Linked DNA regions of Mytilus edulis. The protein of the gene in region 1 purifies or fractionates together with the protein of each later gene. This does not show direct contact. Links are inferred from orthologs where the notes say so. Each region holds a gene or a part of one and is shown in the gene's direction. Other genes may lie near its edges.

What was found.
Region 2: the proteins of peroxisomal ATPase PEX1-like (region 1) and peroxisome assembly protein 26-like purify together in Homo sapiens (affinity purification with western blotting; 3 studies listed by BioGRID and IntAct, with this or other methods). This does not show direct contact. The link is inferred for Mytilus edulis from reciprocal best matches to the Homo sapiens genes PEX1 and PEX26.

The regions. Positions count from the first base shown.
Region 1 is NC_092346.1:52,569,321-52,582,676, forward strand, and holds the start of peroxisomal ATPase PEX1-like, read left to right. Parts: upstream 1-8,160; 5' UTR 8,161-8,237; coding exon 8,238-8,336; intron 8,337-10,161; coding exon 10,162-10,296; intron 10,297-13,356. UniProt on the Homo sapiens protein: Component of the PEX1-PEX6 AAA ATPase complex, a protein dislocase complex that mediates the ATP-dependent extraction of the PEX5 receptor from peroxisomal membranes, an essential step for PEX5 recycling.
Region 2 is NC_092344.1:37,969,382-37,982,054, reverse strand, and holds the start of peroxisome assembly protein 26-like, read left to right. Parts: upstream 1-6,017; 5' UTR 6,018-6,049; coding exon 6,050-6,225; intron 6,226-10,844; coding exon 10,845-10,985; intron 10,986-12,486; coding exon 12,487-12,673. UniProt on the Homo sapiens protein: Peroxisomal docking factor that anchors PEX1 and PEX6 to peroxisome membranes. PEX26 is therefore required for the formation of the PEX1-PEX6 AAA ATPase complex, a complex that mediates the extraction of the PEX5 receptor from peroxisomal membrane.

The DNA.
Region 1 (13,356 bases):
AATTCTTGTTTGGTTGATTATTCATTTTCTTTCAATCTCTTCTGACTTTATGCGTAATCATAGTGGTACTCTCACGTACGCGCCAACAAATTGTAGCGTGTCAATGTCTTAAACTGAACCTTCGTCAGTAATTTTGCAAAAGTAACCAGCAAGTATCGCATAAAGAGGATTGAATCGATGAAGCTGATTTTCATGACCTGTGCCTTCTTGGAAAGCTAATGTACATCTCATCGGGTTAAAGTATGCATTTGGGCTCAAACCCCAACTCTGCCACGAAGAGGTGTATCAACTCAAGTTGTGGAACACGATGGGGAAAACCGTGTTAGTTTGTAATGCAAGTTACAACTGTTCTGTGCAGCGCCAAAATATTTCCCCGTGAGGTAGTCGTGATCGCGAACCTTGTCCTTATCCAGCACTTTTCAGCAAATGCAAAAATGCTAGATTCAAAACATTCCCTGTCTTCATCGGTCATCGTTATCTCTTTCTTGTCTCGGTATATCTTGGTGATGGCATCTACCTCATAATCAACAAGCTTTATGAATTACTTAGCTACCTTGATTACTTGGTAGAGGACCGGTGCAATGTTGACCCCGTGTGTGTACTGAAGTAATAGCAGAAACACGATTGTATGTAAAGTCGTGTATGCCTTTGATGGATCGTATTGGCATGTGTCGATGTTATTCATGAATCTTTCAAAGTACGCGTAGATGGTGCACGAGATTTCTTTGAATGTTTCAACGGCTTCTTCTGACTCCAATACTAAAAAAAAAAAAGACTTAATCAGTTAATTATTGTGGTCTATTACAATTTTACAAGTAAGTTGAGATTCAATATCTGCGACAACAAGTTAGTACACCCAACAGATATTCTGATTTTTCAGTGTTAGTAAGAAAGATGGGTCCGTCATGCTTCGTAATTGTGTTCCTTGGTTTTCTCCACGAATATACTTTCAGTTTACATTTCTATTCAACTGTCTTCATACCCTCACACATTCACATTGACATATTCATTCTTCTTTTTGAACTTATCAATTGTTCCTAATGAAATTGAGTTCGTCTGTTCAAACCATAAACGTAGTCACTGGTTTTGTTGATTTCTGATCCACCAAATTATGGAGTAGGGCTTAAACACTGCCGATCACTAAATACCGGTTAATCTCATTCTTAACATTGATACTAGCTTTGTTTTGTGCATGCCGCTGTTGGAGTGGAATGTTAAAAACCTACTGCTAACGCTGCGCTTTTGAACTTATCAAAATCAATATCTAGTTACCCGATGTTTCTAAATGTTCACTCACTAGCCTGTCGATGAACGTTATCTATGTTTTGTTTGATCCTCTTTTAGATGAAATAAATCTCCAATTAATATATACATATTTCTCTTTAGTCTTTTCATACGATTGGGCTTCGTTTTATTTGCAACCGCCGGCATGTATAACCCCCTCTCCTTTTTAAACCTTTATCTTCGCAATTTGTTACAATTTCTTTTCGGTTTGGTCAACATACATCTTTCCAAATCACCATATTCCCATCGTCAAGTTGTATAGATGTTTTTTGCCACTTTCAGCAATATTGTCTATTTCATGGCGGTCAGTTTTTATTGATAGAGGAAGTCGGAAAGCCAGGAGAGAACCACAGACCATCGGCGGGAAATCTGGCAATCCTAGTCATTTGAGATTGGAGTCGAACGCACCTGCAACGTGCGTGGTTCGAAGTCACAACCGTGGTTTTGACAAGTATATAGTAGTTTGAACTACCTGGACCATCTTCTCGTTTGAAGATCGTTAAACAAAATACTAAACTAAGATGCTACAACCCTTTACATTTAATGGAAACGAGACGGTGGTTTGGAATTTGCAGATATGGAAAACCCGTGTCATCTATGCTTCTTGTGTCAATAGGAAACGAATTTCATTCAATATTTGTTATCTGTTATCATTTAATAAAAAAGTAAGAAAATTCCCGAATATTGCTTTACTGTTACATTTTCAAGTGGTGAAAAAATGAAAGGGATAAGTTTTTATTTAAGATTAGCAAATGTTTAGATTTCAAGTTAAAATATTGTAATTATATTCTCAATTATATAATTATGTAAAAATTGTTCTATATTTAATTGCTAAAATCATTGATTTTCATTAATACATTTGTTATAGTTATGTATTGTGCTAATTAGTACACGTGTATATGTGTCTCAGTGGTCCTAAAAAACATTTTGTTATTATTATGTTATGTAAGTCACTGATGAGTCTTTTGTAGACGAAACGCGCGCCTTGCGTATATATACTTTTTTTTTTATCCTGGTATCTATCACGAGTTTATTATGTTATGACCAGCAGGGTCACCTGGTATCTAGAAATAGCTATCGATTAGATTTGATTTCCCCTAAATTTAATATCAAAGTGTGCTGGTGGTTTTGTTACATGGGTTCCATATGCGTCTCGTGTGTGTGTGTGTATATGTGTGTGTGTGTATATGTGTGTGTGTGTATATGTGTGTGTGTGTGGGTTTGGGGGATACCACTATCATTGCCACTGGCTAACTCACGTGTGGGTGAAAAGAAAGTCGAGTGTGTAGATCTCCAGTTCCTGTCAGTACAAAGCCTCTACACTATCAAAGATTTCTCGCGACAGCACACAGTCAACTATGTTATATTACCCTAGGCGTCATCTGTAGAGGATCTCGGAGCAGCAAGGGCCACCGCGATGCAGTGTGTAGGCAAACTGGCGTGTGGACATGCCCTAGCACTCATCATCCTTGCCCCAGCTATGAGTCACATAGTATCACTGCCTTGTGATTGCATTTTTTAATCAAAGGCTATGGAAGTAAACCCAGACAGACGATCCGGGTAGATAGATCTCGCTGGCAATAGCAATCGACTAAGGGATGTAAACCCCTACAGAAAAGATGCCGGTCCTCCGAGTCTAGGTGGATAATCGTAGGGTAAATCACCCTGCCTTTGACAAAAATCTTGAATACAGAAACGATCACAAAAGCAACTTCTTCTCGTCAAATGACTGGAGGAAAATCAACTCATTATAGATATCAGGATTGAAATTTGCACCAGACGCACGTTTCGGAAGAACATGTTTTTAAACGAAAACAGCATCTGACGCGAAGGCCGATGAAGTTGCTTTCAAACAAACTCATCACCAGAATAGGCACATGTAATGTAAGAATACTATACCAAAGTGGTAAATGTTCATAAGTAGCAAACAAGATCGCTAGATACAAGATTGATATTCTAGGACTAAGCGAATTTATCTATGATGAGTTTATTTACAGCTTGTAACCCGGATTTGTATTTTTTTCTCAATCGATTTATAAATTTCAAACAGCGGTATATAAACTCATCATAGATACCAGGACTAAATTTAGTATATACGCCAGACGCGTTTCGTCTACAAAAGACTGTTGCCTTTATTTACAACCAATTAATTGATACCACTCATGGTGGGGTTTTAATTCCACGAGGGTATAACCATCCCAGTAGTCAGCACTTCAATATGTAACACTTTAATAAACAAATTTATATTATATATACTTCACTGCTGACATGAACTATAATTGACATATTTATAAATTGTGTTTACAAACTTTTGAATACTAAGGCTTTTTACCGCAAGAATAGACTACCTTAGCTGTAAGGAATTTTGGTCCTCAATGCCTTTTTAACTTTTTGGATTCGAGCGTAACTGATGAGTCTTTTGTAGACGAAACGCGCGTCTGGCGTAAATATAAACTTAATCCAGGTATCTATGATGAGTTTATAAGATGGAACACACATCAGGCATGACAAATTTGAATACAGGCCACACAATTATATATTACAGAAACACCAAACAGAATGACCCACATGGAAAGGGAGTTGGATTTCTTATAACAAAAAGACTCTAAAACAGCTCTTCTGGAGTGGAAGCCCGTATCACCAAGAATTATCACAACATGCTTTATATAACTCACGTTTCCAAAAACCACCCTGATACAAGTAAATGTCCCAATCAATGATGCAGAAGACAGTGAAAAAGAAGATTTCTACCACTCATTACGAACAACCATATATAAAAGGTGCTAAAAAGGTACCTATTGGTAATCATAGGTGACCTAAATGCTTCGGTTGGATCAGAAAGAAAGGGATGGGAGTGAGACATTGGTCCTCATGGAATAGGAAAAAATGAAATGAAAATGTGCAGAAATGTGCTATGATATGACGCCTTGTCATAGGAGGAACACTTTTCAAACACGAGAATTGCCATAAGGTAACGTGGGTGTCACCAGCAGGAAATGCAGGAAACCAAATAGACCAAATAACCATCTCTCAAATATGCAAGATGTTAGGGCAAAACCAGGAGCAGATGCAGCATCAGACCATCATCTATAGTTGAAGGACCAATAAAGATGAAAATTTAGCTCCCCAAAAACCAGATATAACAAGTGCAAAGTTGAAGAGCATTGATGACCCAAATTCCTAAAAATTGTGCCAAATACGGCTAAGGTAATCTAAGCCTGGGATAAGAAAGTCCTAAGTATTCGAAAAATTTATACTTTTTTAATCAGGAAATTTATAAAATGACCAAATAATTGATATTTATGTCAACACCGAAGTGCTTGCTACTGGGCTGGTGATACCCTCGGGGACGACACGTCCACCAGCAGTTGCATCTACCTAGTGGTGTAAATAGTTATCAAAGGTATCAGGATTATACCGGTAATTTAATACGTCAGACGCGCGTTTTGTCTACATAAGACTCATCAATGACGCTTAGATAAAAAGAGTTATTAAGCCAAACAAGTACAAAGTTGACGAGCATTCAAGACCCAAAATTCCAAAAAGTTGTGCTAAATACGGCTAAGGGAATCTATTCCTGGGATTAGAAAATCCTTAGTTAAACGATGAAAAGAACATTTTAAAAAAGTGCCAAACAGACCCATCTAACATAGAAGGGAGACAGGTCCTGAATAACGCTTTATTGTTTTATAAATGCTGCAATAAAACAACTGAAACATGGAAAAGAAGGAGGAATTGACAGCATACCCCCTAAAGCTATTAAGGTAATGAATTACCTATGTATTGATAAACTTCACAACTACTTAACAGAATATGGAATGACGAACATATACCTGATGACTGGCGTAAAGATATCTTTATTAAACTACCAAAGAAAGGCTAAATCAATCTGTAGCAACTGGAAAGGTATAATGTTGCTTTCAATTCCTAGCAAAGTCCTATGTCACATCATCATCCTACAAAGTTTAAAGAAATAACTGACATTGTCAAGATATTGGATTTCTTGATTTACAACATATTTGTTACTTTTGGAGGACGTGTTTTTTTTCAACAGACAGTCGGCATTCCAATGGGAACCAATTGTGCCCCTCTTCTTGCCGACTTGTTCCTTTATTATCATGAGGCCGACTTCATACAGAGATTTCTTATGAAGAAAGATAAGAAGTTAGCATTATCCTATAACTTTACTTTCCGCTATATAGATGATGTTTTCTCACTAAATAATTCAAAATTTGATGACTATGTTGACCGCATCTATCCCATCAAACTAGAGATAAAGGATACAAGATACAGTTAAGTCTGCCTCATATCTTGACTAACATCTAGAAATTGACAATGCGGGTCGGTTGAAAACAAAACTTTACGACAAAAGAGATTATTTCAGCTTCCCAATTGTGAACCTTTCCATTTCTATGTAGCAACATTCCAGCAGCGCCTGCATACGGGGTATATATCTCATAATTGATACGATACTCCCGGGCCTGTATTTTCTATCATGAAATCATTGAAAGAGGGTCGCTCCTCACAAGGAAGCAATTAAACCAAGAGTTCCAAATGGTGAAGTTGTAATAATTCCTTGGTAAATTTTATGGACGCCATCACGAGTTGGTTGACCGTTATGGAATATCCATTTCACAGATGATATCGTATATGTTCTTTATGTCATAACTACAATTCCGTGGACATTACAGTCATGCCTAGAAGACATTGACTTTGCAGACGATATCTGCCTGCTTACCCATCGCCATGAAGACTCACAAAACCAAGCAACCAACCTTGATACAACTGCAAAACAAGTAGGACTATACATAAATGCAAAAAAGACAAAATCAATGAGGGTAAACGAAATTAAAACCAACTTATCAAAATCAAAGTGAGAGAGATGCTGAAATAGAAGATGTCTTAAAATTTACATATCTTGGAAGTATCATCACTACATCAGGAGGTGTGATTATTTGACTGGTTGGGGACTGTTTGGTGGAGGAGGGACAAATATAAGTACAAATGAAAATTTGGTTGGTGCAGGGTTAAAAAAACGACATAACCATGTCATTTCCGAATGAACTTTATTTTGAGGTTTTGCGTGAAAGTCACGGGTCGGTTGGGGTTCGGAATCTAGATCTAGCGGAGATTTTAAAAATCACATGAATTAATTAAGACATATTGTCTGCACTATCAAGAATAAGGGACGATACGCACAAAAGAAGGAGAATATTGCATGGTCATGTGCAGTTTTCAAAGATGCATTTGGATTACTCTACCTAAGAGTCAAATGCTTCCACTGAAATGAAATTCAAAAGTCACATCTGCTTTATCAGTGACAAAGTGAACAAAAGAACTTTTTTTTATAATGAAAATCGTTTTCAAACATTAAGAATTCATTTAATGAATGGCTATTATTAATTTTTAATTTATTGAACCATAAAATTAATTTTTGACTCTTCACATTGAATAATCCGCGAAGCGGATTATGTAAAATGTGAAGAGTCAAAAATTAATTTTATGGTTCAATAAATTCAAAATAAATTATTGCCATTCATTATAAATAAATTTCTATCAAAAATAAAGCTCAAAGAACTTTTTATATTATTTATATTAACAATAGCAACGTACACACTTGTTGGCGTATGAGTACACAACGTCAGCGGAGTGGGCGTGTCGCCATAAAAATTGACAACATTGAAAATAGAACTAAAAATTTTAACCAATCAGAAGACAGTAAATACACCAAATTTATTTATATTATAATATTTAACTGAAAATCACATTTTAATATTAAAAATTAATTTTCTAATATTAACAAAATACTTACTAATATGAAAAAATAATCTTTTTTTAACACCAAAAATATGATTGTATTTTTTTATATTAGAAAATTATAAAAAAGTAAATAGTTTTGATGTTAAGGTAGCACAATACAAAGATTTTATAACTCCAACTCCAAAGTTTTAAAATGCTGTAACTTTCTTAATAAAGCTTGAAAATTTATAAAAGTGGTATTTTTGGATAGCTAACAGATTACTCTTTGAAATAAATGCAATGTTAGTATTATGCAACAATTATGTAACCAATTATAATGTTAACTGTGCCTAAAATATTTTTCACCAAATTTCCACTTTCAAATGAAATTAGCTTCTGCATAGGTATCCCTAGAGGATTGATTTTATTATATGTTGTTCCTATGGCCATTATCTACAAAAGGGTGTCTCAGATTTCAGATAGAATGTATAGAACAAATTTTACACATAATTAAACATTATCTTCTTTTATTGGTTAGGATGTTTACACTAATAAGAGATTTATGAGAGAATGGCAGAAACAATCTGAGACACCCTTTTGAAGCCCACAATGTGTTGATTAAGATTTCGTTAAAATTTTCTGTATAGTTAAAGAAATGATAGAGCTAAATTCATTCAAGTGAGCTTACCCAAATTTTGACACTAATTACATAATAATTGATTACACAATGATTGCATAATAAAAATATTGCATTCATTTAAAAGATTAATCTTTTATCTATCTATATATACCTCTTTTATCATTTTCTATGCATTTATAAGAAAGTTACAGCATTTCAAAGGTTAGTGATTGGAAGTAAAAAAATCTTTGTATTGTGCTACCTTAAGAAATAGCTTTTTTGTCCACCGTTAAAGTGACTTTGGCTTGCTTTATCTAATGAAAGTCCAAAGTTTGAAATTCATTTAAAATTCTCCTTTTCCTTACTTCAATATAGTATATATTGTTATGGTCTCAAAACTACTCGACCCGAAGCCAACTATTATCCTCTACAAGAAGAACAATGATTTGCTTCTATATCCGTACTTCATGGTGATATTTATTTTTCATTTAACATTTGGTCTTTTGACAAATCAATCCATCTTTTATTCACTCCACTGGACCGGAAGTGAAAGGATGGTCAGCTATTTTTATCTTGAAAAACTACACTACTTGAAATGAGCTGCACAGTGACCAGAGTGTCCCACAAAGCTGAAAAGAACTGCTTTATTGTCTTACCAAAAGAGTTGTGCAAAACATCGTTAGCCGCTGAAGGGGTAAAAAAGACGAAGCTTTGTAATATTTCTACTTTCTGTTTCAGTTTCACTTTTAAAATGCATGTTTAAAATAATGTTGCTTCTTCTTTTCTCCTTTACCGTCATCATGCATTTTATTTTTCAGTTTTTCGTTCCAAAATTACCCCATCACGACGCTCATGGTTCGAGACCGCAATTATTTCGTGGTGACTAGTGCATTTCTTTTAGAACATAAATGAAAATTACTCCCACCTTTGCTTTCTCAATGAAATTGTTACAGTGTGTTGTACTACTTTTGGGACAAATTATATCAAAATTATAGAAAACTTCATCAGCTCTAACTCAAAACATGGACAATTTTATGTTTAGGGCGTCTTGAAATCTTTTGACAGCTTCCAAAGTGCTAATTTTTAACCTTTTTCAGCTGGACCAAATCACTACTTTCCTTTAAAATTCTGGACCCAAATTTTTTTACAGTGTAATTTTACCCCCCTTTTTGCAATTTGAGGCATTAAACATGGAGAAATAAATTTGGAAGGAGTATATAAATTAATGGCAAGTAACCCACTGTCAACACTAGGGACTATATTTGTGGACAACGAAAATCAAGGGACGACAATTGTGGTCTCGGACCTCATACTCTAAATTCAGAATCTTTCTAAAAAGAAACAGAAATATTGATAATTGAAAGGTTACAGGTGTTATCCCAGGCCATATTAGCGTTGCAGTATTCGGCACCATTGTATTTCAGCACTGTGCTATTGGGCAGACCGCAGCAGTTTCTAATACACCTTATCGCTATTTGTCCGCCATTACTGGATATCACACAGGTTCCGGTAAAATTTTGACGTCATAAACAAAATATCTGAAGCCACAATGGAAAAGTGATTGTTGTATGTGTCAAAAGATCAAGCGGCTGGGTCAGCCGGGATTAGCGATAAGGTGTATAGCAGTGCTATTGTTTTTTTGAATTTTTAAACATCCGGTATTATTCTGTACAAATCTAATAATGTGATTGTTAATTCAATTAACGAAGTAAAATATCGGAAGGGTCAGTTCAATAAAGGAACATACTGGCGCCATTTGCAAAACTTTTTCTGTCCAAAAAACTTATCTTTCTGGAGTTTTTGATTTTCAAAAGATTCAGAAACTTCACAAAATGACAAAAGAAATGGATAGTGCTTAAATATCATTACTCTTTCACATTTACAATTGAACTGTTGAACCTGTTTCTGTTGCTTTAAGGGTTTCATATCAAGCCCATATTTTACGATTACTTGCATCGCTCTTTTTATATATCAAATAAGAGGATAAACCAAAAAGAAAAAAATATGTAAATATATCTAAATTATCAATATATTTGCCATCAAACTGTCAATAAATATATACATATAGGTGGTAAAACATTTTTTTACCTGTATATAGTGATTATACTTATATACTATAGAAGGCTAAATGACTATATATACATGTAGGTATTATCTATAGGCGATCCCAACTATCGGGTAAATGATGCATAAAATTTACAACTGCAAAAGTGGTCTATTGCTGATCTTCCTTTTGAAGTCACAGCCAGGCTTTCAACAAGTAGTAAAAGCACACACCTTATTGTAAGTTCAAGATGCATTTCTTAAAGGAATGAAAATTGGATGCATTAAATTATTGGAAGCAAACATCAGACATATTGGATAGTTGGACATGTTAGATACCTTTTGTGTAACAGGCCATTCCATCCCTTTTTGTTTATCTTATCTAGACCATATGCTGAAAAAGTATAAAAAAATGTATATATGGAACAAACTATTGAAACTAGTTATTGATATATATTTTTGATACCATTTTGTAGATACAGGTGTATGAAGTACAGTTTGGTAGGGATGAACATGCTTATTTTACTGCTACTGGAGAATCAGGATACAGAGATGCAGAACTTCAAGTGAATGGAATATATGCTGACAGACTTGGAATGAAGGATCCAGAAGTAATTTTCTTAGAAAGAGTTTAGGACAATTGTTTTGTCTCTGGATTCATTATTATTAGTTGGATACCCATTTTCGTGGTATTCGTGGGAACAAAAAGTAAAATCACAAAAATACTAAACTTACATGTAGAGGAAAATTAATTTGGAAAGTCCATAATGACATGGCAAAATTAAAATACAAAACCCATCAAAAACAAATGGACAAGAACTGTCATATTCCTGACTTGGTACAGGCATTTTCAAATGTAGAAAATGGTGGATTAAACCTGGTTCTATAGCGCTAACCCTCTCACTTTGATTACAGTCTCATCAAATTCTGTTATATTTACAATGATGCGTTAACTAAACAGACACAATAAATAAAATAGTCAAAATATGGGAACAGCAGTCATCATCTTGTAACAATTTTTAAAGGAACAATTTAACAGAACACAAAAACATCTATCTACAAACACATTCATTGATTTGTGTGTCTGACGTCAGAAAATTTTATACGTCACATATATTTGTCGTTCAATGTACATACAAACAATTTTAAAATTTCACATAGGCAATGTTAGCATACAGGGTTAAAAATCAAAAGTATGAAAGAATAAATTTCAGAAATAGACTGAGATTTAAAATAGTCCAAAAGTTATATATAGAATTTATAAGAATCCACAAATAGCTAATTCCACTACGCGATTGAATGATTTTGACGTTTATGGTTCAACGCATTTTGTAATTCATAATAGAAATATATCATAATGACATGAAATAGAACCATTTCATACTGACGGGATCTTATAAAGTACAGAGTCACGTTATATGAACCAAAGAAACACAAAAAGTTGCATATACAAAACACACCACCAAAAAATGAAAGACAATACAAACACATTGACGGGATGTATACATTTTGTAAGTACCGAGCCAAGTCAAATATTACCTAAAACAATCCAACAGAAAAAGTAATATTATTAATAGAACAAATACAAATGAAAGAACAATAAAACACATTGTTAAGATGATAAACAACATCAGTACTCAGAATCTATACATTAAGACCATCATGTATTATTTGTGAAGTTGATACGGAATATTTATCAACAAGGTCTTGGTATCTTCCGATGAACTTTTTTTGAAAAAGGACGAGACGTTCTTTGACATACCCCTGGTTCATCAACTTTCTACTCAGACACTGATGACGTTTTACAAAGTCTGAGTAGGAGCTGCAAGCTCTTGAATATCTAATAAGTTGGGAAATATATATCCCATATGCAGGTCAAGTTGGTATATTGCTACTAAGGTGGGGGAAATTTATTATTTCAAAATCAAAATTGTCTTGTTTGTCATAGATTCTGGTACTGAATAAGTCTTAAAATGAAGCAGAGGAATCCGTGTCTGTTGTTTCTTTAATTTCTAGTTCTGGGGGATATATTGATGGAACCCAATCAGAAAAGTTTGGATTGTTTATGGAAAGAACATCATCAATATATCTGAAAGTGAAATTAAATAATCTCGCTTCTTTGATCCTCTTGTTTTTGGCAAGTGTCTGGAGGAACTCCGATTCATATGAAAATAAGAAGAGGTCGGCAAGAAGAGGCACACAGTTTGTTCCCATAGGAATGCCGACAATTTGTTGGAAAAGTCTACCTCCAAACTCAACAAATATGTTGTCGATAAGAAACTCCAGCAAGCTGACCACTTGTTCTTCTGTGTAGCATGTTTTACCTTTTTGTTTGTCACTATTAACGAAATATGCCTTATGAAATCCCAAAGTAATAAATTTATAGCGTATGCTACCATTTTTATGTTGAAAGGCATTGTGGATGATTTCTTTTTAGGCGATTTTTCAATTTCACATGGGGAATGGTGGTAAACAGGGTTAAAAAATCAAAAGTTTTGATAGAACTAATTTCAGAAAAAGACTGAGATTTAAAATTGTCTAGAAGTTCTTTAGAATTTTTAAGAATCAACATATGGTTAATACCACTAAGCGAGTAAACAGTTTCACAGTATTACTGAAGACCCTCTTTCACTGCGGACAGAATTTTAGTCAATCTAATGGACAATTCTTTAGTGGAACATGAAGATGAGCCAGCAATATACTGTTGTTTGTACGGAATTTTATGAAGCTTTGGTATCCAATACAAACAAGGTAAGTCCTTCGATTTGATGTTCAATGTAATGTTTATTGAAGCCATGAAGGACTTATGATTTGCTAAAATCTCATCCTTGTCAAATGATATGTCTTTGTATGTGGGATTACCTGAGTGCTCCTTTATACTCGATTCTTTTACAAGACATTCGTAGTAATACGATTTACATACAAAGACAATATTATTTGAAGCTTTGTCTGCAGGAATAACAACATACTTATCATGAAGAGATGATAGACATTTCATGACCTCTTTGTCTCTGAAAACGGACTTTGGTCGATCGTTCACACAGTTTTTCAACTTGTGAATGCGACGTTTTATCAGAGACCTGATAGTTTTTACCCATTCTGACAAAGTGTCCAGTTCAACTTCTTCTCGCTTAGCTCATGCTCTGGCGTAGTCCTCAATGGAATCCATAATTATTTTGAAGTTATGGTTCCAATTGATGTGTTGGGGTTCTCTAAACTTAGGACCATGAGAAATCACCTTTCAGAGATTTTCATGTTGAATTATGTTAAAATCCCCAGTTATAAGTTAACATGACCAGAGGGGCTGTAATTATAAGGCGAGTGCGAACTACAAAATTTAAGTGTACAGTGAATTACAAAATTTCTAACAGCTTTAATGCAGACATTGGCAAAACCATGAAATTAACATCTACTAAAGTGCAAGTTTTCCTAAATCCAAAAATTGGTTAACCATAAAAAAAAAAATGAATCCACAGTAGTTAAATATGTTGATAAAAAATCTCACACTTTGTAAACAAACCTGCATATAATTGTATAGGAACGGCATCCTCTTTCTCTACATTTGCTTCTATACCATAACTTGTGGATCATTCCCATTTTATTCATTTTTCAAGAATCACCATGTTCACTATCATGAAACAAAGATGACCAAATTTGATTCTTTCTATTTT
Region 2 (12,673 bases), on another chromosome or scaffold:
GGTCAGTGTTGTGAAAATATAACAGGTAATTAAAGTTCGTGTTTTGAAGCTGAAGTTTTACGATTGTCACCTGTTTGTCAACATTCAACAACAAAACAACAAAGTATGAAAAATTGAGCACGTGTTTTTAAAACATGTAAATTCAGATAATAGTTCTTTTAAGGACATCCATGCGTGTTGCGATCACCGGATTTTTACGAGATGGGTCACACTGAGGTCACTTTGAATACGGAAAATATGTCGGGGGAATTGCTTTCTGGAAGGAAGCAACTAAAATAAAGTAAACTTCTTCTAAATATGAATAAATTAAAGAATTTTCTTCAGAAAAAATTATATGTACATAAGTTTTATAATGTAAACTATCCATTGAGTTATAAAAAACATATGCATTATTTTTTTTTAATTTGAGGTTTCTTATGACTTTAAGGAAATAATTGCAACTATTGATCAGTGATTGAATTTTAAATTTCATTTTTTAATCCTTATTCCATATAAGTATAAAGCTTTCAGCTCCAGGAAAAGCTGAATCGAACTTGTCTAATTAAATATAAACTTACCTGAAATAGTGGAAGTTATAAAAGACATGTACATCAACAGTATTTCTGACAAAATCTGTACAAGGACATCAATTTGCAAACACCTTAATATAATTGTGTAACAGTTCATTAAAGAACGGAAGTGTATATGAATAGTAATACATGTAGCAGTTTATTTGACATATTTGTTGCCTTGGTTGTCTTACGTGTATTCAACTTGATACGCGACAACTGGTACGATGTCACGCTTTATGTATTAAATAATTGTCGTATACGTGATGCAAACTGATAACCATAATATTAAGCGCTCTCATCGATGGATGTATCGACCTGAAAGATCTTTGTCCAAGTCTTGGTATATTCATATATTTTTATATTACATTACTAGAAACTTCAAAGAAATAAAAAAAAAATATCCCTCCATCTTTAACATGTCATTTTTGTTCACTGAAAAAAGGAACATCTTAGACTCGGGTACTAACGAGCCTTACATATTGTACAGAAATTTGTCTCTTTGGTTGAAATCCAAATTTTCGAATGCTTGTTTATTTGGCTTATTTTTTTGCTGTTTACCTGGATGTTTTCTCATTTCCAAATATTTCACCTATCAAGCTTGGTGTCCGATCTCTTTTACAAAGATGAGGTATACAAAATAGATAATTCCGTATAGGGCTTATAATGGGTCCAACTTGTAAATGTCAATTTGTAGAATTGTCTTTATAATAAGTTACCTCTGGTCAAAACTAAAGGAGTAGGTCCGGTAATGGCCGATTTCGGCCTCAATTTAAAAATTCATCTAAAGAAAGATTTTAGACACTTTTTAAACACTTAAGTGTCTGTTTCAATTGATTCAATTAGTTTATGTGAAAGATTTTAACTGATTAAGTCATTCAAAACACTCCGATTCAAGCTTAAATATGAAAAATCTATCAAATATGCCAAAAATCGTCACTTTTCAGATGCTTCTTGTCAAAAATGAAACTGGCCGCATCCGTGTTCATCCTCACTCTCTTTATATATATTATGTATTATCATCAAATACAACTTACATTTCAAAATTATGAATGAACACGAATGCGGCCACTTTCATTTAAGCCGGAAACCGTCTACAATTTAACTAAAATGCTAAAATTGTGAAGATTTCAGTAATTTAGCATGACTTAATGATGCTAGTACCCGATATATGTGCATTGTATTGTCAAAAACAGCCCATATTTATATAGCAGAAGCATTCTACTTTTCAATAAATATCATAACGATTACATTTTCACAATTTTCTAAAACTGCCATATTTTGGGGCCAAAAAGGGGTTTTACTGAACCTACTCCTTTGTTTTGAGAAGTAGATTTGAAATGTTTTAAAAAAAATGTCACTTTAATTTGAATAAAACCTTCTGTGAAATTGACAGTATTAAGGTCACGGATGCGTGATTTTTTTGTTTGACAAAATATCTGTTTCGTTTGGATAACGTGTTTTTTTTAACAAACAATGAAAAATTACTGTGCTCCTCTTCTTGTCTATTAAGTTCTTTTCTTCATATGAGGCGGATTACATGCAATAGAAGAGGGACAAAAGGTACAAGAGGGACAAAAGGTACAAGAGTGATAAAAGGTACAAGAGGGACAAAGGGTACAAGAGGGACAAAAGGTACAAGAGGGACAGTCAAACTGATAAATTGAAAATAAACTGACAACGCCATGGCTAAAGATAAAAAGACGAACAGACAAATAAAAGTACAGAAGAACACAACATAGAAAACTAAAGACTAAGCAACACGAACCCCACCAAAAACTTGGGTGATCTCAGGTGCTCCGGAAGAGTAAGAAGATCCTACTCCACATGTGGTTCCCGTCGTGTTAAAAGGACAGTATGAGGACATGTGTGCTTTTCACTTTTGAAAATTAAACCATAATCTTAACTTGATTTACCACAGTCAAGTCCTGTAGATGTTGATGGACACACTTTCTTTGAAATTTCTCCAATACAGACAACACAATCAAAAACATTTTATTCTGCAATGATACATTGACAAAACGACTTTTTTATCATCGGAACTGAACATTAAACAGTCAAGGATTTGAAACCGTATACTTTTCGTAGTCGGCTAAAAAAGGCAAACTATATATTATAGCTCTTGTGCTCATTATATTGTTGTTAGAAATGGAATCCAATAATACCATCACTTCAAGTTTATCTAAGCTTGTTTCGATTTGTGAAGAACAAATCTGGATTGTTTAATCATCTTTATTATGAACAAAATAAGCATTCTTTGAAAATGTATCCATGAGTTAGAAAAGTAAAAAAGAAGTTCGATAACAGAAAAGATGTTTAACAAAAGCTTATATTTGAGGCCAGTCGAGATGAACAACGGATTCTGGCTTGTCTAGTTGCCTTACTTTAATATTTCCTTTTGTCTGCGGGCTTTGTATTATAATGTTATTCATAAAACTACACGTTCTCTCTCGGTGTCTTTTTCTTAGTATAGACAAGCTCAGTTTCGAAGTCCTTAATTTATATTTTGTCATATATATTTCCCTACAGCTATACTCAATTGGTTATTGCAATAAAAACAAACCTTAATTAGTCATTTCAATTCAAAGTTGACAAAAATCCGAAAAATTAACAAAAGACTATAATTCAGTATTACTTGAATATATAACAGTTATTATCAAATATTAATATGAAGATCATTATAAAACGATGAATATACATGTATGTACAATATCTTTTATCAAGATAAAAGGTATACAATTGTATCATATGTCTCTGCTTAGGCTAATGATGACTTTTCAATACTGTAACAGTTTATTTTTTACTGAAGTATACATGCTTAAAGTAAACAAACCATTTTAGTATGTTTTAGTATCAAATATGAATAACAAAGAGGCTCATTTAATGACCAAAAACACAATTTTAGGTTTGTTTTCATTGTAATCAGAATGTAATAAAAAAGTAATCAAGATTACAGGGTATTTTAAAAAGTAATTGATTAAATTAAATTACATGTAATCAGATTTTTGTCTGATTAATGATTACACTGATTACTTGAAAAATTGTAATCAATTACATCTGATTAACGATTACAATTACAATAAATAAATAATAAATAAATAATTTGTTTATTAAAGTGTCACATATTGATTGCAATAAAAATAATTCATACACGATATACATACATTATAAAACAACCAATATCCAGCCAAAAACTGACTTACGAGACACTATGTTATACCAAATACATATTTACAGATTAAAATAGCGTAAAAATAAAATATTAAAATTAATATGCGTCTTTTCCACAAATAAATAATCCTGAGCTTGAATCTCTAATAATTAGTTATATAAAACATATACTCATTTCACAAAAAAATGATAAAAATTCTCAATTCCATTCATAATTGAATATCAGTTTATAAATCACATTGTCTAATAAATAAAATAAAAATTTAACTATTTATAGAATATAAACTTTTAAAAATATAAACCCCTTTTATTTGTCTAAATTAGGCATAAAAAGGGAAAAGAAGTTGAATCATTACAAAAATAATTTTCTGCGGATAAAAAATTTGTGTAGACTTTTACAAAAATAATGCTGGATTTCAGTGCCATTCATAATACTTAGAAATTTGTCATTAATATTTATATTGACAAAATTCGTTATGTGCTTAGAACATTCGTAAAATAAGTCGTATCTTAGATCACTTTACAAAGGACATTCCAGTAGGAAATGTTTTTCATCTTCAATGGCTCTACAATCAATCAATACACATAATCGTTCTTCTGTAGGCATAGGCGGCCTGGAGTATCTCCCTACTTCAATTGCGAGCGGAAGAGAGCCTGAGCGAAAGAGGGCCATAGTTCGTCGTACATTTACCCTAAGTCTGTGTCAGTATGAGCTTTAACATATTCAAAATTTAATATATACAAATAATCAGGAAAAATCATGTTGTAATACTATTCTTAACAAATTAATACACTATCATATATAAAACTATTTCAATATAGAGTTACCATAGCTTTAAATTTCACTGAATAAGATCATTGTATTTACATGATCATATTGAAATTAAAAGCCGTGGTAAGGGGACGACCGTTTAATATCCTTGGGGGGAGGGGGCAGGAGGATTTGTTTTTGATCGGTTATTTATTTTTGTAAACTAAGAGGACAGCGTATTCATTTTCTGCACTATTGAAGCAAGATTTTTCATTTTCATTAAAGCAAGAGACTGATTATTCATTTTCACAACCATATTTTTGATATTCGAAAACATACAATTTTTAAATGATTTGTTTATTATAAATAATACATATAGTATAGTAAAGTCATTATGTACCATTTAATTAGATTATCCATCCCCCTCTGCAGGAATGAATCTTTTAAATTCCCAACTGCATATACATGTATTGCAAACATACATAGTATTAAAGTTTAGTTATGACTAGGTACCTTTTAAATGTATTGGCAAACATACTACGCCGAGCGGAGCGAGGCAAACAATTTTTTGAAGGGTTTTGGAGCCACTGAAGGCCCAAGAAGCTATAGAACTAATGATGCAAAATGATGCTTTCTTGGTGTTCCGAATACCGTTCCGAATACCGTTCCGAAGACCCTTTCATAATCTGAAAAGGAAGTTTTGTTTGAATAATTTTTTGACAATATTTTGGTCTCAAAGAAAAATGTATAAATTCAGTGTAAGACTGAAGTTTCTAGGGACACCACAAAAGACCGGCAATGTGCATGATAAAGAAAAAATGGAATTCACATAGTTAAGTCTGTGGCTACTGTTTTTTTTTTTGTTTAACTCATGATCAAGTTCATAACAAAATTACTAGATTACAAAAGGAATGCAACACTAACAGAATACAGAAGGGCAATCAATGAACAAAAGACAAATAAATAAGAAACATTGATCCCGAAAAATCAGGGCTATAAGTCTGATGGAAAACAGAACTTTCTTCTTGCAAGGCTGTGAACACAATTTGCTATGGAGACAAGCGTTTGGTTTTGAAATTTCCTACATGTAGTTACGGACCTGTTAAAATAAAAGCGAGGTAAGGTTTCCTGAGACAATATACCTCAAGTTAAATGAAACCAATTTTCAGACACTTCAAGTATATTTAAATAATATTTATACTATTGTTATTAAAACTATTGGGAAGTGTTTCCCGATTTTTTCGGGGCGAAAAGATGAATTTATGAAGAATCTGGTGCCATCTCAAACTTTCGATTAGACCTGCTGAGTTATTTATTTTCTATACATTGTAAGTCAGCCTAATTTATTTTCAAACTACCACAGAACAAACCATTTATTTTTGTGATTATCAAGGCTGAGTTATTTATTTTCAAAATCCTCCCCCCCCCCCAAGAATATCAAATGGTCGTCCCCTTAGTAGAGGTCCAAGTTGTATACAAAATAAAAATGACAAAAAATCGTTCACTGTTGATGTTGCCTTGAAACATATAAATCAACACTATATAGAAAGTTTTCCTATGCAGGTCACATGACTGTAAAATGGCTTCCAAAGAAATTGGTCCTAGAAAAACTGATCATTCAACGATTCATACAAATATTGAATCAGCAAAACACTGTTTGGATCTTGCTAGAGAACAATTGCTTTTCAAACACTTTGATGATTGCATCAAAACATGCGAAAAAGGAATAGTTAAAGCTAAATTAGAATATAATGGGTATTAATATGTTTATCAATTTACATTTTTGTATTTACAAGTAAAACAGTTTACAATGTTCGTCCATATTATTTGCCCCGACTGTGTCAGCGCAATTTTCTAATCAGATAATTGCTCTGAAACAAATGATTTATAACCAACATTTAAACAAGTTCTTAATATCAAAACCCTAAATCTCAAAAGATACATAGAATATTATCTGATTATCCCTCTATATATATAAAAAAGAAGATGTGGTATGATTTCCAATGAGACAACTGTCCACAAGACACCAAATGACACAGACATTAACAACTATAGGTCATCGTACGGCCTTCAACATTGAGCGAAGCCCATACCACACAGTCGTCTATAAACTTTAAAGGCCCCGATATGACAATGTAAAATAATTCAAACGAGAAAATTAATGGCCTTATTTATAAAAAAAATGAACTAAAAACAAATTTATAACACATAAACAAACGACAACCACTGAATTACAGGTATCCTGACTTGGGACAGGCACATACATAAATAATGTGGTGGGGTTAAACATGTGAGCGGGATTCCAACCATCCCCCTAACCTGGTTATATATTGTTGGTATTACATGTATCAGGGGTCTGTTCACTCCCAAAACACATTCTTACCCTACCGAAAACTGTGAATGTTTTTCAACAAGGTTCAAATGAAGCTCATGCATAGGTTTTATGAGTCTAGATAAGTTCATTACATCCCAACTATTTTGCCCTACCAGGAATGAACTGAGTCTATGCTGGGAATCAAACTCAAGACCTTCAGCATATGAAGCCAAGATTCATATATACCCCTACACCAGGACTATTGGATACAAACTGTATGTCAATTTGAAATGTTTATTCTGAAAACATTGTATCCAGTGTTCATGAAGGGTATATACTATTTATTATTATCAGGGATCTCCATGGCCTGTTTAACTATGGCGTCCTGCCATCGTTCAAATGTCTTGCGCCATTGTCAAATGACCTGCACCATCGTTAAATTGTCTTCCACCATCGTGCAAAACTGTAACCGTTTTTATACATGTTATAGCCTGACGCCATTATTTAAAAAAAAAATGCATGTCATTTGCATGTAATTGCATAACCCTCAGGCTTTTTTTTATATTATAATCCAATACAGTTCTAACGCCTGAGGGATATCCGGATTAAGATTGCTAATCACTTGTACCTGAGCTTGTACAGGTAGATCAACAAACCAGACAGGAGAATACTATCTGAAGATAGAGGATTCATTTGTCGAATTATTCAACTAAGTTTCTGCAAATGCTTATGATAATTTAGATTAAATAAATGAATTAATAATCCAGTTACAAAGAAAATAGTTTTAACAAGTCGAACCTCTGAGAGTCGAACACATGCTTTTATTTTGACTTATGCAATCTGCATCCCCCTTTTTAAAGATGTTAAGAAAAAAAGATGTAAAACAGTAATTATTATTTCATCGCAAAAAACTCGAGTACTGCTGTATTGTAACAATAATATAGAATTACTTTAAAAGTTAAAAAGTTAAAACTTAATATTTCCTGTACAGAAATATTGTATTGTAATTCCGAATTCATTTCTTGGTTTACAATCTAATTGATACATCTGCATTTCCGGTTTCTATTCAGACTTGAAAGATGCATAGCATCAATTTGCTAGATAAAGTCATTAAAAACCTTTTCATTTGTCAACGTTTGCTTTACAAATCTCTTTAACCTTTTACATAACCCGTACCAATGATTTTGTCAATGTTGCTGCAAATCAGCCATACCGGTAATGGGTTCATGACTTCTGAATTTGACAGTGTCTGTGAAAAATAAGCTCCACCTGATTTTAAACCCCATAACAATTATCAAAAATAGCAAGAAAAATACATGGGGACCTTCATGACAGCTTTTTGTCATTCTCGGATTGCAATTATTGAAAGTATTTATACTTTTATTTATAACAAATGTATAATGAAAATTCAAATAAATATAATTTAAATAAGCAATGAATTAGCATGTTCACCAATCCTTATTTGGAGGGATGAAATACTTTCAATTGCGCTACACTGTACAGCGTAGACATGGTTTGTGATGGTGAAAGTTCCTCCATTGTTCAATTTTCATCCATGGAGATCCCTGAATATATAAAGTATATAATAATTATTTTATGACTTTTGAACTAGATGTTATGGAGTTTAATGAAATTTTTTTTTTTATATTTTCTAGAGGAGCTGGGATCCTGGGATTTAAAATAGTTATCCCACTCAGAGTTGGTTTTTCTGTTATTAAAAGATCAACTTTGACAATCAAGGTGATCTTATACAGACACACTGCATCCTCATGGGATAACTATTACTTAGATTACGTACATTGTTGGTGTAAAAACAGTACTGCAAAAACAAAAAATACTAGTTTTTAAAAGATTCATTTTTATACGACCGCAAAATTTGAAAAATTTTTCGTCGTATATTGCTATCACGTTGGCGTCGTCAACGTCGTCGTCCGAATACTTTTAGTTTTCGCACTCTAACTTTAGTAAAAGTGAATGGAAATCTATGAAATTTTAACACAAGGTTTATGACCACAAAAGGAAGGTTGATATTGATTTTGGGAGTTTTGGTCCCAACATTTTAGGAATTAGGGGCCAAAAAGGGCCCAAATAAGCATTTTCTTGGTTTTCGCACTATAACTTTAGTTTAAGTTAATAGAAATCTATGAAATTTTGACACAAGGTTTATGACCACAAAAGAACGGTTGGGATTGATTTTGGTAGTTTTAGTTTCAACAGTTTAGGAATTAGGGGCCAAAAAAGGGCCCAAATAAGCATTATTCTTGGTTTTCGCACAATAACTTTAGTTTAAGTAAATAGAAATCAATGAAATTTAAACACAATGTTAATGACTACAAAAGGAAGGTTGGTATTGATTTTGGGAGTTTAGGTCCCAACAGTTTAGGAATTAGGGGCCAAAAAGGGACCCAAATAAGCATTTTTCTTGGTTTTCGCACCATAACGTTAGTACATGTATAAGTAAATAGAAATCTATGAAATTTAAACACAAGGTTTATGACCATAAAAGGAAGGTTGGTATTGATTTTGGGAGTTTTGGTCCCAACAGAATAAGGGGCCCAAAGGGTCCAAAATTAAACTTTGTTTGATTTCATCAAAATTGAATAATTGGGGTTCTTTGATATGCCGAATCTAACTGTAATGACTGTGAATGTAGATTCTTAACTTTTGGTCCCGTTTTCAAATTGGTCTACATTAAGGTCCAAAGGGTCCAAAATTAAACTTAGTTTGATTTTGACAAAAAATGAATCAGTTAGGTTCTTTGATATGCTGAATCTAAAAATGTACTTAGATTCTTGATTATTGGCCCAGTTTTCAAGTTGGTCCAAATCGGGGTCCAAAATTAAACTTTGTTTGATTTCATCAAAAATTGAATAAATGGGGTTCTTTGATATACCAAATCTAACTGTGTATGTAGATTCTTCATTTTTGGTCCTGTTTTCAAATTGGTCTACACTAAAGTCCAAAGGGTCCAAAATTAAACTTAGTCTGATTTTAACAAAAATTGAAATCTTGGGGTTCTTTGATATGCTGAATCCAAAAATGTACTAAGATTTTTTATTATGGGCCCAGTTTTCAAGTTGGTCCAAATCAGGATCTAAAATTATTATATTAAGTATTGTGCAATAGCAAGTCTTTTCAATTGCACAGTATTGCGCAATGGCAAGAAATATCTAATTGCACAATATTGTGAAATAGCAAATTTTTTTTTAATTAGAGTTATCTTTCTTTGTCCAGAATAGTAAGCAAGAAATATCTAATTGCAAAATATTGTGCAATAGCAAGATTTTTTTTTAATTGGAGTTATCTTTCTTTGTCCAGAATCAACTTAAATCTTTGTTATATACAATATACATTCACTTTTTACTACCAACTGATAAATTAAAATAATCTTTACCATTCAGTGATAACAAGCAGTTTTTTTACATCTTAATATTTTATGATGTATTTAAATGAGTAGTTATTGTTGCAAACTCCATTAGAAATTTTAATTGAGATTAGTTTTGGAATAAGGGAAAGGGGGATGTGATTAAAAAAATTGGGTTCAATTTTTCTCATTTGAAATTTCATAAATAAAAAAGAAAATTTCTTCAAACATTTTTTTGAGAGGATTAATATTCAACAGCATAGTGAATTGCTCTAAGAGAAAACAAAAATTTTAAGTTCATTAGAACACATTCATTCTGTGTCAGACACCTATGCTGTGTCAACTATTTAATCACAATCCAAATTTAGAGCTGAATCCAGCTTGAATGTTACATGTATGTCCATACTTGCCCCAACTGTTCAGGGTTCAACCTCTGCGGTCGTATAAAGCTATGCCCTGCAGAGCATCTGGTTAAATACTGTATTGTTGTACATGTATATATGGTTACAAAGTACATATATATTGATTCAGATAATTTCAAAAGGTTCTAGGGTAATTTCCAATGTTAAAAAAAAATGTTCATGACATTCTTTTAAGGGTAACAAAACATTCGAAATTCCTTCAGTACATTGATAAAGAAAGGTGAGCAAATATCCTAGCATGAAATATTAATTAACTGATTATAATACTTTTCAGAAGTCCAGATATTGTAGAAGCACTATGTATTGTTGGCATACAGGCATATGCAGAGCTAAATCATTGGCAACAGGTCCTTCCTTATGTACAGAATGTGTATACAAGTATTGAAGAATGTCCATTTAGAGTTGTTCAGCTATGGTGGGTAAAATAAACAGTTTCAAACATGATATAAAATCAAACCATGGTTAAAGTTTGTAGTCTTTATGAACAACATTGTCAAGTTGTTTTAAGATGCAACATTTCACAACAGTCATTTTATAATAAGTATACATAAGGACACATTATTATATGACACTGAGAGCAAGGTGACAACTATTAAACACAAGTCAACAAAAGGTAAGGATCTGCTGGTCATCATACAGTGTTCAACAATGGGTACGCATCCATAATAAAATAATTCCATACCTGTGAGGGCTTAGTTAACCACAGATTTTAATAGTATAGGTAAAAAGCACAGGCACTCGTCTCAGAATATTTTTCCCCTATATACCTTTATATACATGTAACACAAGGTACTTAACTTGTATTTTAGAAAAATGTCAGGCGGTGACGAAATTCTGTTATATGCCGCTTTCTAGTCTGTCAAACCTATTAAAACTTGTTATATTGTAGATCTAAATTGAATTATCTTTACAGTGATGTATAACATGCTTACATTTGTTGTCGAAATCATCCTAAAGCAATCCTACCAAAGTATGTCAATCGTAATAATTTTGCCAACCGCTGAAGAATTGGCAATAAACGTGTCATGTCTCTTTATATATCTTGGTTTCCGATTGGTCAATTTTATGGGAAAGTCTAAATGATTATCAGAGTTATCTGATCTTGTTTCATTTTCATACGTTAAGTCAAGAGAGACATTGACTTCATGGGAAAATTTGTATCTAAAAAAGGAAACTCGTTACTTTTTAGACATACCACAAATAACACTTGTGATTTTTTTTCAAGATATCTTATACAATTTTACTAACTAGGGGATAAGTTCTATTCAGACCAAAAAATAACAGTTTTTTTCTGAAACAGTTTTTATAATTAATCATTTACTGCGAGACGTTTGTTGCCAATTTTGTGTAGGTAGACGAAATAATTACGATTGACATACTTGGATATGACTGTTACGGATGATTCCGGATGATTCCGACAACAAAAGTAGGCGTGTTATTTACCATTGTGAAGATAAATCAATTAAGATTGATGACATAACAAGTTTTAGTGGGGTTGACAGCCGAGAAATCGGCATATTTCGGAATTTCGTCACTGCCTGACATGTTTTTAAATCCTTGTGTTATATAAAGGTATATAGGAATAAATTTTTTCTGAGACGAGTGCCTGTGGTAAAAAGATATGTAATTTCCATTTCAATTCTTAAATTTAACATAAAAAGGATATTCTGTAAATGAACAAAAAACACTAAATATATTTGAACTTGTGTGACCATGGCAAGAATATGCAATTTCAACCTCTAAATACAACATCCAAACAGTGGTTTTACATTCTTAGGTATATATTGCATTGGTATGAAAATAAAGTTAAAAGGAAGGGAAATGGCATAAAAAAAAAAACAGCACAAAATTGCCTCAGGTTAACCATGATAGATTTAGTTTGAAGGTAGTCAATTTATATGTATCTTGTTTTGCAGTGTTTTACTACATGCCAAAGTAGAAGAGTATTCACAGTGTTATGCAATAGCTAGCATTTGGCTGAAAGATGTCAAAAACCAAAACGATCCCGATTACTTGACATTAGTTGAATTATACATAATAAATGTTTTGGTTCCAAGACAACAATGCAATCTCATTGAACCTTTTGTGGAAGCTTGTCCAGGG